2 linked regions of the Drosophila melanogaster genome follow. The protein of the gene in region 2 interacts with the protein of the main gene of each other region in a biochemical or structural test. Each region holds a gene or a part of one and is shown on either strand. Other genes may lie near its edges.

Region 1 (6,517 bases), on a different chromosome or scaffold from region 2:
GGATTTAGTGCTTGGTATTAAAAACAGGCACTCATTTTTTTATTTATTAGACTCGTTTTTTTTTCTACGAAAATAGGAAAACAAAATGACCATTTCTATAATATCCACTGGGAAAATAAATATTTATACATGTAAATATTTGTGTATGCAGCGATAAAAGCTTTCGTAATCGAGAATTACATACTTGTATGTATAATTTCCCATAGTTTGGCGAACTTTGGCATGCGGTTCCTAATGCCGAGCAGTTCTTTAAGTTATTTAAGATGGGAAATCTGCGATGGGCTAGATTTCAAGAGTTAAGTAGCCCCTTCCACAAAGCCTTGAATAATAGAACACTTCTTACTTATTCAACTCCATCTGCACTCAATAAATCCAATAAAAGCAAGTGGCTCGGTACAAAATACCATGAAAACTCCCAGATGTCCATACATAATTATATTCAACTTGAGGCGACACTTGACTTCTGTTGCGCACACACACATGAATATATGTGCCATCTTGTGGGTTTCGGCACCCAAGTAATTAGCAACACGTGGCCTGGCACTTCGTTCTGGGGTCACCGGGGGGCTTGGTCACCGCCTAAGTGTCCCTAATGACCAGATGCTGGACTGGATTGGGTGGCATGGGGGAGCTACTCCTGGGCTCTCCTGGGTCTAAGTAGGCAGATAACTGATTTACTGGATTTCTAGTTACCGTACTGCTTGCGAACTGGGAGGCTGCTCCAAATGATTATTATGATTATTACTATCTGTAGACAGTCGTTCCCCAAGTTGGCCTCCTAATTACACATGTGGCTTCCTGTTTGCGCATTTCGTCAAAATTAAATTCACGACTGAGCACACTTAGTTGAAAGTTTGCAAGTGCGTAAAATTCTATAGTTCGCTTCGCTAGGCCAAAATGTCTCGATGTGCCGAGTCGAGTTTGGCTCGGCGACATGTACGTAATAATGATGAATCTGTGGCCAACAGCCATGCAAACTTTTCTGGTTGCGAGTATTCGCATTTATGAGTAATCCATTGTTAGCCCCATTCAAACTGGCTTAATAAATCCGGCCAAGATGCTACAGTCGACACCGGCAACCACAATATAACTAAATACCTGTGGGCATGCCACTTCAAATTTAATTCGGTCTAAGTTATAATACTCAAGGCTTTAAGGTTGTGGGTGGCTTTTAAAGATTAGTTATTAATAGAGCATTGCACATGAATTTCCAGGTGCTCAGCTAATTGTTTGACTAATCAGCGCACAAAATGAACTGATAGCAATTAAGTAGTACATCGCTAAATGTACACAAGAATTAATTTAATGTGGTGTGTGCCAGGTGATAAGAAGGCATCTGTCCATTCAAACAATGACCCATGTTTTATTCAGGCTTCTTTTATTTTAAAGTGCCTGCCTATGCGAGGTAATAAAACCTTTGTGGGGGGGGGGGGGGGTTAGGTGTTGTCTTTCACCTTCTCCCCGAGTTGATAATTTATGCTTGTTGACATTTCAATTTAAGTTAAGAAGATTTTCGGACGCCGTCGTCATACAATAATTTAAATTTCCCACGCAGGCCGCCTTGAAAAGATAAAGCGCTTTTTGTTTCTCCAACAAGAACAAAAGGAACTTTAATGTTACAACATTGAAAGATATATAAAACAATTAGTGCACTATTCCTATTTCATATAGTAAAGGTTAGCAGAGGAAATTTTTAACTTAAACTTCGAAAACTTTCGAATTTCGTAGTGTTCGTTTCGTTTATTTAACATCTGATCTACTTATCTACTACTAATTAAAGATTAAATTTTTGTTGTTTTTGACGTAAACAAAAAAAAACCCAAGAAAGCGTCGTAATCGTGTTCCACGACTATCAGATACCTGGTGAGCTGTGAGCTAGAAATTTAAAAATTAACCATTTAAATAGTTAAATCAAAAATCATAAAAACTAGTGTTAAAATTGTGGGTGGGACAGCATATAGAGACGTCTTTTGGACAACGTTCTAATTGACACAGAGAAGGAGACACATCGAATTGCATTCTTAGTATCAACTTTCTAGCTTTTATACGGACATACGGGCAGACATACGGACACTTTGAGACCGATGCGGCTAGTGTGATCCTGATCAACTACTGTATAAGAAAAGTTTATGATAAACTCTTCCTACTAACTGTTACATACTGTTCAACGAATCTAGCATACCCTTCTGCCCAACGAGTTGCGGGTCTAATTACTCATTCTGCGGCATGAACATGCCATATCTATATATTTAACTTGGCCACATATATATATATATAAATGTACATGGTGTTTATACATATATGCCCATATGTATATGTATGTGTCTATTTACAATTTAGCCTAAACCATGCCTTCTTATCTTTTTAGCGGTAGACTGCGGACAGTAATCTGTGGCCATCTAAAAGATACAGTGGCTGTATTATACGATAGCGCATCGCAGATTTTTCGCTATCCATAAAAATTCAAACGCCAATTGTCGTGTGCCATGTGCTATTCTAAGTTCCGTGGCGGCCGTTAAAAATTTTACACGAAATAAACAAAAACATTCAGCTCTGGGCTAAAATGAATTCATCGACCGATCCGACATTTTCCGAGTTAAACGCAAGTTTCACAAATACCCCAGATACCCTATTCGCCACTAGTGTTAGTTCGGATCCATCCCATGGATTTGGAGAGGAGGACTATGCCTGCGGCACCTTTAACTGCTCTCCAAAAGAGTTTGTGGCCTTTGTGCTTGGACCACAGACCTTACCACTTTACAAGGCAGTTTTGGTAAGTCTTCTGGAAGTGGATTAATTTTTACCAGTTTTACTTGTAATCAAAGCTTAAAATCAAATAACTTTTCTTATTGCCTGTTGTGAGTCATACTCAATAGTCAACAAATATCATTCCTCATCCAAGATATTAAATTAAAACTTTTATACAGCCATTTATACTTGTACATACCTAGGCTAAATACACATGGATATTGGTGAATCGGCTCTGCAATTTGCTTGCTTTAATCTAAGGTTTTAAATTGATAAAGCGATCATTCTGTTTGCTTAAACCTTTTCCAGATAACAATTATTTTTGGTGGCATATTTATAACCGGGGTCGTTGGTAATCTCTTAGTGTGCATTGTGATTATTCGCCACTCGGCAATGCACACGGCGACCAATTACTATCTGTTCAGCCTAGCTGTTTCAGATCTGCTGTACCTACTATTTGGTAGGTTAACTAAATAAAATAGGAAAATATAGTTAACTGAATATGCTGTTTTAAACAAAACTAGGATTACCAACGGAAGTGTTTCTGTACTGGCATCAGTATCCGGATCTCTTCGGCATGCCATTCTGCAAAATACGCGCATTTATTTCAGAGGCGTTAGTATAACTACTTTTGACTACACGTTTAGCCATTTATAAACCCAGCTGTGTTTCAGATGCACCTATGTCTCCGTCTTTACCATCGTCGCATTTTCCATGGAGAGATTCCTGGCCATTTGCCATCCATTGCACCTGTATGCTATGGTTGGCTTCAAGCGCGCGATTCGGATAATAACAGCTCTTTGGATTGTTAGTTTTATAAGCGCCATTCCATTTGGACTGCTCTCGGATATTCAATACCTCAACTACCCATTAGGTATGAAACTATTTACATCATAAGTTCCCTAGCAGTACAAAAATGGTGCTTGGTGCTCGAGTCAGTAGTTGCTCAAATGAAGTAAATTGCTGAAACCTTATAAATCAATTGAAATGGACTTTAATTTTGCGAGCGACCTGAACTTCACCATCCAACAGCCATGAATGGTTGAAGTATATTCTTTGAATAATATCCAAATAACATGAACAGGTATAAATGGCATTCGTTGCGCTTTTCAGATCATTCCCGCATTGAGGAGTCGGCATTCTGTTCCATGTCGCCCAAGATTGTTAACGAAATTCCCGTGTTCGAAGTATCCTTTTGCATTTTCTTTGTCATTCCGATGATACTCATCATTTTGCTCTACGGACGAATGGGAGCCAAGATTCGATCTCGAACGAACCAAAAATTGGGCAAGTACCTGGCTTTTATTGACCCCAAAAGATCCGACTTCAGGGATGTATTCCAGGTGTTCAACAAGGCACCAACAACAGGGAAACGAGAAACTCCCAAATGAGAAAGAAGACGGTTATTCGCATGTTGGGTGAGCTTTTCCCAATCAATCCCAACAGAATCCATCAATAAAGTCCCCGTTTAATCAGTATAGCTGCTGTGGTGATTACGTTTTTCGTGTGCTGGTTCCCGTTCCACCTGCAAAGACTCATATTCCTGTATGCCAAGAACATGGATAACTATTTGGACATAAACGAGGCACTCTTCTCGATTGCGGGATTTGCGTACTACGTTTCATGGTAAATGAACCCAAATTCTATTAACTTATTTATCTGATTCAACTGGCTTGACAGCACCGTAAATCCAATAGTGTACAGTGTGATGTCACGTCGCTACAGGGTTGCGTTCAGGGAACTCCTCTGCGGAAAAGCCGTGGGCGCCTATTACAACAGCGGATTTGCGAGGGATCACTCCAGTTTCCGGGAAAGCTCCGCCTACGACCGCGTTCATTCTGTAAGTTATTAAGTTATTGAAAGCACATTTTAATCCAACCTAACCTAATTTGGTTATTCTATCTCAAATTACCCCATAGGTTCACGTCAGAGCCAGCCAGCATCCAAATAAGTTCGAAACGGACTCCTCATCTGCAAATAGGGTGCTGATAAAGAAAACCTACAGCCTCCCGCTACCAAAAGTAATTAAACAGACCAAAATCATAAATACTCATTGAAGTATAGCATAGTGTCCTAGAGTATGATATAGTAGTAAATTAGCATAAATTTAGTTATTACAGATGCGCAGATTCTTTTGAACTGGAAATCCCAGAGTTATTTCCAAACTTTTCTGTGTCGCCGGACTCTCGGAACTCAAAGATACCTGGGCGAATAAATCAAATTAAAAAGTTATTTCACTCTGCGTCAATTTGTGTATCCTTGTAATTCCCAATGCTGAAGTTGCTTAGTATTCCGGCTCCATCCCCGCTTAACTTGATTTCGCTTTGTTTACACAAATACCCATGGGAACATAACTTTTCCTTACATTGCCTGTTGAGCGAATTAAAGTGCTCGTATGTGATTGTTTGAGTTTGTGAAATAGTAAAATACAGGGCGAATAAATACTACATTACTTTTCACCTGCTTGTATTCCACGTGTGTATATTAACTTTGGACCTTGCACTTCCAGAATGCGGACTCCACGGTCCTGAGCACCACGGACATTGTCATCGTGCTGGAAAACAGCCACACAGTTTGCGAGGAGCCCAAAGTTGAGAACGATATTTGGATCGAGAACGAGGAGACTTGTATTTAAGCACGAGGCCATTTCAACATTTGTAGTTTAAGCCAAGGACGTCGAGAACAACCTTTTGTAGAACTAATTTAAGAGCTAAGAATTGCGTATTGGGAATTTAGTGATATGACTGGGAGTCTGTCTAAATTCAAATGTGCCCCCGCACAAAGGAGATTTATTTATTTCTACAACATCTCATAATATTACTAAATAAACCAACTGAGTTTTATTGCTACCGAGTTGTTTTTTTTTAATTGTGTTAGGTCCTTATAAATATTTATTTATACATAAAAAGGTAATCAGTTCCATTTTCACAAACTTACTGGCCACAAAAGAATCTGAGATATTTGAAACTTTATGGAATAACAGGGCTTTTATGAATGAATACATTAACGAACGATTACAGTTTCGAGCGATTTGCATAACAATGATCCAAATTATCGTTTTCATGGCTTGTTCTCTCGAAAAAGCAGTGCCAAATTGACGACAAAAGCGAAAGTTGTACCCATTATCCCAGTATCTATAATTAAAAACATTTTCACTTTTACATGAGGTAAATAACCCTGCATTCACAAGTCTCAGACATCCAGCCATCTGGCATTCTGTATAAGCAAATTAATCTCTGATGTTTGAGGAACTCCGAACCAATTACGCATAGGTCTCCAAAAGATCTTATCTCCGATTTACTTTCACCAGCACTCAAGATAGCCAGATTAATGAGCATACCTGGCCAATGGTTCTGTCGCATCTGGAGCGATGTCACGGTGCCCCGAGGCTCGAGTGCTCCATCTTCGTGTCGCGATATGATCTCTCGGGGATCTCTCGGTGGACACCACATGCACATCCAAATCCAAAAACATCGACATCGACATCGACATCCACATCCACATCCACAGCAGCTCCTCTATGGCAGCAGAGGCAGCATCTCAAAACTGGTTTAGTGGCCATTCCGACACTCCGAATTCCAGCACAGCTAGTTCAGAAACGTTCCATTTGCCACTCAGTTGCTTTCCAACCGACGGCACCGCCGAAATTCAAGAAGAAAGTAATCGGATGGATGTGGATGCTCGAGACCCTCCATTGATTAACGGTGCTGCGGCGTTGGAACCACAGGCTCTAGAAAAAGTGCCCATCTTAAGCTGATATGGCGAACCA
Region 2 (4,942 bases):
GATGTGGCTGACTTTGATGACCAGGAGAAGGCTTGTACCATCTGGCGAAGATTTTCCAAGTATATTACATTCATTTCTATGTACTTTATCATATTGGCATCCCATTTCAATTTACTTTAGCTTATTCGAAACATCACAATCGCTCTTTTGGGCCTCTTTTGGCCTGGTGGACCTGGTCTCCTTCGATCTGGCGGGAATCAAGAGCTTCACCCGCTTCTGGGCACTGCTAATGTTCGGCTCCTATTCGGTTATCAACATCATTGTGCTTCTCAACATGCTGATTGCCATGATGTCCAACTCCTACCAAATCATCTCGGAGCGAGCCGACACTGAGTGGAAGTTCGCCCGATCCCAGCTGTGGATGAGCTACTTCGAGGATGGCGGCACCATTCCACCGCCCTTCAACCTCTGTCCCAACATGAAGATGTTGAGGAAGACCCTGGGCCGAAAGCGACCGTCACGAACCAAGAGCTTCATGGTAAGTTACACTCAGAGAAATTCAATATTTCAGTTTAAGTATTATACAAATCCACACATATATATTAAATTCAGTGTACTCTACTTTTAAATGATATTTCTTATCATATTACTTTTAAATGTAAGTAACATTTCGAAAGTTCGATTTTTTCAAGTTGAATCACCTCACAGTGAGAGGCGGCTCACAATCAATACAAATCTTAAGCGAAATCATTTTCAATCAAGCCCATGCAGAGCTATCTGTGCGTCAAATTGACGTCTAATACATCCTTTCTGTGTCCTTCCACCCTCTAATGCTCCCTGTTCCAACTCCCAGCGAAAGTCCATGGAACGGGCACAGACGCTGCATGACAAAGTGATGAAGCTGCTGGTCAGGAGGTACATTACGGCGGAGCAGAGGCGGCGGGACGATTACGGCATTACCGAGGATGATATCATTGAGGTGCGCCAGGACATCAGCTCCTTGCGGTTCGAGTTGCTGGAGATTTTCACCAACAATAACTGGGATGTACCCGACATTGAGAAGAAGTCGCAGGGTAAGGGAAGCCTACCCACATCCAAATTGGCAACTTACACGTGTCTTAAGATAGAAGTAGCAGTATATATGAATAATTATTTACAATTAGCTTTTGAATACCTAATAAAGTTCACCCCATCTTGAATATTAATTTGAAATATGTTGTGCTAGAAGACTACAAAGCTAGAATGGATTTTAATGGATTTTATTCACTAAACTTACTTTTGAAGGAGTTGCTCGAACCACCAAGGGCAAGGTGATGGAACGTCGCATCCTTAAGGACTTCCAAATCGGCTTCGTCGAGAATCTGAAGCAGGAAATGAGCGAATCTGAGAGCGGACGAGATATATTCTCATCGCTGGCCAAGGTCATCGGCAGAAAGAAGACCCAGAAGGGGTAGGTCCACTTAAATCTGTAAGACGCTTTGAATAATGGTTATTATTCTCAACAGAGACAAGGATTGGAACGCCATTGCGAGGAAGAATACTTTCGCCTCCGATCCCATTGGCTCCAAGCGCTCCTCCATGCAACGTCATAGCCAGCGAAGCTTGAGGAGGAAGATCATCGAGCAGGCGAATGAGGGTCTTCAGATGAACCAGACCCAGTTGATTGGTAAATTAATAAAGATGTGCCCAATGTATGTATATTTCCATACCCTTGATCTCCTCCAGAATTCAATCCCAACTTGGGTGATGTGACGCGTGCCACAAGAGTGGCTTATGTCAAGTTCATGCGGAAGAAGATGGCTGCCGACGAGGTTTCCTTGGCCGATGACGAGGGTGCTCCAAATGGCGAAGGCGAAAAGAAGCCACTGGATGCCTCTGGGGTACGTTCCAATCAATATATGTATATGTATTCCCTGGCTAATATATAATCTCACTTGCAGTCTAAAAAGTCCATAACTAGTGGTGGAACTGGAGGAGGAGCTTCTATGTTGGCTGCAGCTGCTCTAAGAGCATCGGTTAAGAATGTGGATGAAAAATCCGGAGCCGATGGCAAGCCCGGCACGATGGGCAAGCCAACGGATGACAAGAAAGCAGGTGATGATAAGGATAAGCAGCAGCCTCCCAAGGACTCCAAGCCGTCAGCAGGTGGTCCCAAGCCCGGGGATCAGAAGCCAACTCCGGGTGCGGGAGCTCCAAAGCCCCAAGCAGCTGGCACTATCAGCAAGCCCGGTGAGTCACAAAAGAAGGACGCTCCGGCACCACCAACCAAACCTGGAGACACCAAGCCTGCTGCGCCGAAGCCTGGAGAATCCGCCAAGCCCGAGGCCGCTGCCAAAAAGGAGGAGTCTTCCAAGACCGAAGCTAGCAAGCCGGCAGCCACAAATGGAGCAGCCAAGAGCGCAGCTCCCTCCGCTCCTTCGGATGCCAAGCCGGATTCCAAACTGAAACCTGGAGCAGCTGGAGCACCAGAAGCAACTAAGGCAACCAATGGGGCCTCCAAGCCGGACGAAAAGAAGAGCGGTCCGGAGGAGCCAAAAAAGGCTGCAGGAGACTCCAAGCCAGGAGACGATGCCAAGGACAAGGATAAGAAACCCGGCGACGATAAGGACAAGAAACCTGGCGACGACAAAGACAAGAAACCTGCTGACAATAATGATAAGAAGCCAGCCGATGACAAGGACAAGAAGCCGGGAGACGATAAGGACAAGAAGCCGGGTGACGACAAGGACAAGAAGCCGAGCGATGATAAGGACAAGAAGCCTGCCGATGACAAGGACAAGAAGCCAGCAGCAGCTCCTCTGAAGCCGGCGATCAAGGTGGGTCAGAGCAGTGCCGCAGCTGGCGGAGAACGAGGCAAATCCACGGTCACAGGACGCATGATCTCCGGCTGGCTCTAAGCCGCGGAATCCACTTTCATAGCAATTAAATAGTTAAGTCCTTTGTTTGTGTGAATAATAAAAAAAAAGAATCTCAAGTACCACGTTTCTGCAACTTGTTGCTAAAGGCCACCTGTTGCCAGCAACATCTCATTTGCATCGCAGCAACATTCATCATCCGCCCCGTTGTTCCGATGGCAATTTGTTTGTCTGCCATCCATCCGCCTGCTTTTCTGGCCTATAAAAGAACGTGAACTTCGACCAGAGGAATCAGAAGAACCGTGACCGTTCCGAGGATAACATCAGACCGAAAAACATATTCGCCAAGCCAGTGTTTCGTCCTAAATAGTCTTGCAAATATGAAATCTATGTTGGTCCACATAGTTCTAGTGATTTTCATAATCGCCGAATTCAGTACAGCTGGTGAGTGGTGGAAACATTACAAAATCGCTTTTAAGGAAATCTTAAACAACAAACTAGTCTATCTCGACTAAGTGCTGCTGCTATCTTTTGTTAACTTTAAAGTGAAAATAGTTAAATGCTTTTTAATAATGTTCAATAATATTTTGCAGCACCTTTAAAAGAAAGAGGTAATGGTAAAAAGACCTTTCCAATTTTTCATTAAAATGTTCTACTTAGAAAAGTTGTTTATTATTATTTTATTAACTTTTTTTTTAACACTTAAAGCACTTCTTGAAGAGGCATGCAATTTAAGTCGTACACAGTGTCTTTTTATATCAAGCTCTTTAAATCAAAAAGGTGATTTCAAATCTAACCGCTGAAATAATAAAAGCCACTTAAGAAGAGTTAAATATCAAAGAAATAGTTGTGGCACTCTAAATCTATAATTCAAATTTAAAAAAGGTTTTAATCACAAAAAGCCTTAATAAAAATATTCAAGTCACTTGAGTTACTTTGGCGGTTAGGCTACGAAAATAGCTTATTCCACGGAGACTTAAGAACAATAAGATGAGAACATTTGAATAAATTGCAATCCCCAAACACTCCATTCAGAGACGGACCACGACAAGAACCGACGAGGTGCCAACATGGGGCTCTATGCCTTCCCGCGCGTTGGTCGCAGCGATCCCAGTCTGGCCAACAGTCTGCGCGACGGATTAGAGGCCGGAGTCCTCGACGGCATTTACGGAGATGCCTCCCAGGAGGATTACAATGGTAAGTCGTTGCGGCCGGATACGGTTGACTAATTGGTCCTAACGCCCCGGGGACGCATGTGCCATTCCAGAGGCTGATTTCCAAAAGAAAGCCAGTGGTCTGGTGGCCTTCCCACGCGTTGGCCGCGGTGACGCCGAGCTGAGGAAGTGGGCCCACCTTCTGGCTCTGCAACAGGTGCTGGACAAGCGCACGGGACCCAGCGCCTCCTCGGGATTGTGGTTCGGTCCCCGGCTGGGAAAGCGCAGTGTGGACGCCAAGTCGTTTGCGGACATCTCCAAGGGACAGAAGGAACTCAACTAGACACACTGACTCCCCCTTTTGACACTCTGAATGTCGTAGATACTTTTGTATATCAAAGAGAACGCTTCTAATTGAATATTGTAACGGGTATACAGCAAATATGTTTTTCGGTCAAATATATATTATGAATAAGGGCTGGTGAGAGCTTGTAATTAATGTCTTTGCGTGTCCTTCTTGCCATTTCAAGTATGTAAATATAATAAATCATATAAAGTAGCCTGCTCAAGTACCGCGTTACAACTGGGATTCCTTTTGGAGTATTAAGAAAAGTTTATTCTAAATGAATTGCAAACAGTTTTGGTTCGGACATGAATGATACGCCATTGCCATGACATGGCTAAGATCATCCGTTGTGGGCTCTACTCCTGCTGTTGCTTGAACTTTCGTAGCTCGGACTGTATGGCCTCGATAAGGGGTGCAGTTCCCGTTCTACTGCCCGATGGAGCAGTCGCATCCAATCGGGCCTCCATCCTCTGGAAGGGTCCTGCGCTCACTGGACGATTCAGGGTGGAGTGGGAGCTGTACATACTCCCACCTCCCCAGGCACTGTAAGTAGGCGACGGAGGTTGCGTCGAGTGCGCCGACTTGGACGTCTTCTCCGGCTGAGCGGTTGCCGGACGTTCAGCTAAGCTCTTGGGTTCCGCCGAAGG

The links. Proteins that work in one complex are often made in the same cells at the same time.
Region 1: of the proteins of Capa (region 2) and CapaR, one has a biochemical effect on the other in vitro, tested with the Drosophila melanogaster proteins (one study listed by BioGRID).

The regions. Positions count from the first base shown.
Region 1 is NT_037436.4:21,558,047-21,564,563, reverse strand, and holds CapaR (capability receptor), read left to right. Parts: upstream 1-2,382; 5' UTR 2,383-2,563; coding exon 2,564-2,773; intron 2,774-3,057; coding exon 3,058-3,208; intron 3,209-3,272; coding exon 3,273-3,363; intron 3,364-3,422; coding exon 3,423-3,622; intron 3,623-3,861; coding exon 3,862-4,035; intron 4,036-4,091; coding exon 4,092-4,166; intron 4,167-4,224; coding exon of another isoform or gene 4,225-4,229; coding exon 4,230-4,374; intron 4,375-4,428; coding exon 4,429-4,588; intron 4,589-4,667; coding exon 4,668-4,769; intron 4,770-5,257; coding exon 5,258-5,383; 3' UTR 5,384-5,590; downstream 5,591-6,517.
Region 2 is NT_033777.3:29,912,491-29,917,432, reverse strand, and holds Capa (capability), read left to right. Parts: upstream 1-3,086; 5' UTR 3,087-3,175; coding exon 3,176-3,239; intron 3,240-3,830; coding exon 3,831-3,992; intron 3,993-4,062; coding exon 4,063-4,292; 3' UTR 4,293-4,442; downstream 4,443-4,942. Other genes in the region: trp (transient receptor potential), read left to right, coding at 1-59, 121-478, 794-1,013, 1,225-1,390, 1,446-1,606, 1,666-1,820, 1,881-2,837; CG31036 (uncharacterized protein), read right to left, coding at 4,652-4,942. UniProt on the Drosophila melanogaster protein: CAP-1 and CAP-2, but not CAP-3 are ligands for the Capa receptor. CAP-1 and CAP-2 are probably components of the signal transduction pathway that leads to Malpighian tubule fluid secretion via the second messenger nitric oxide.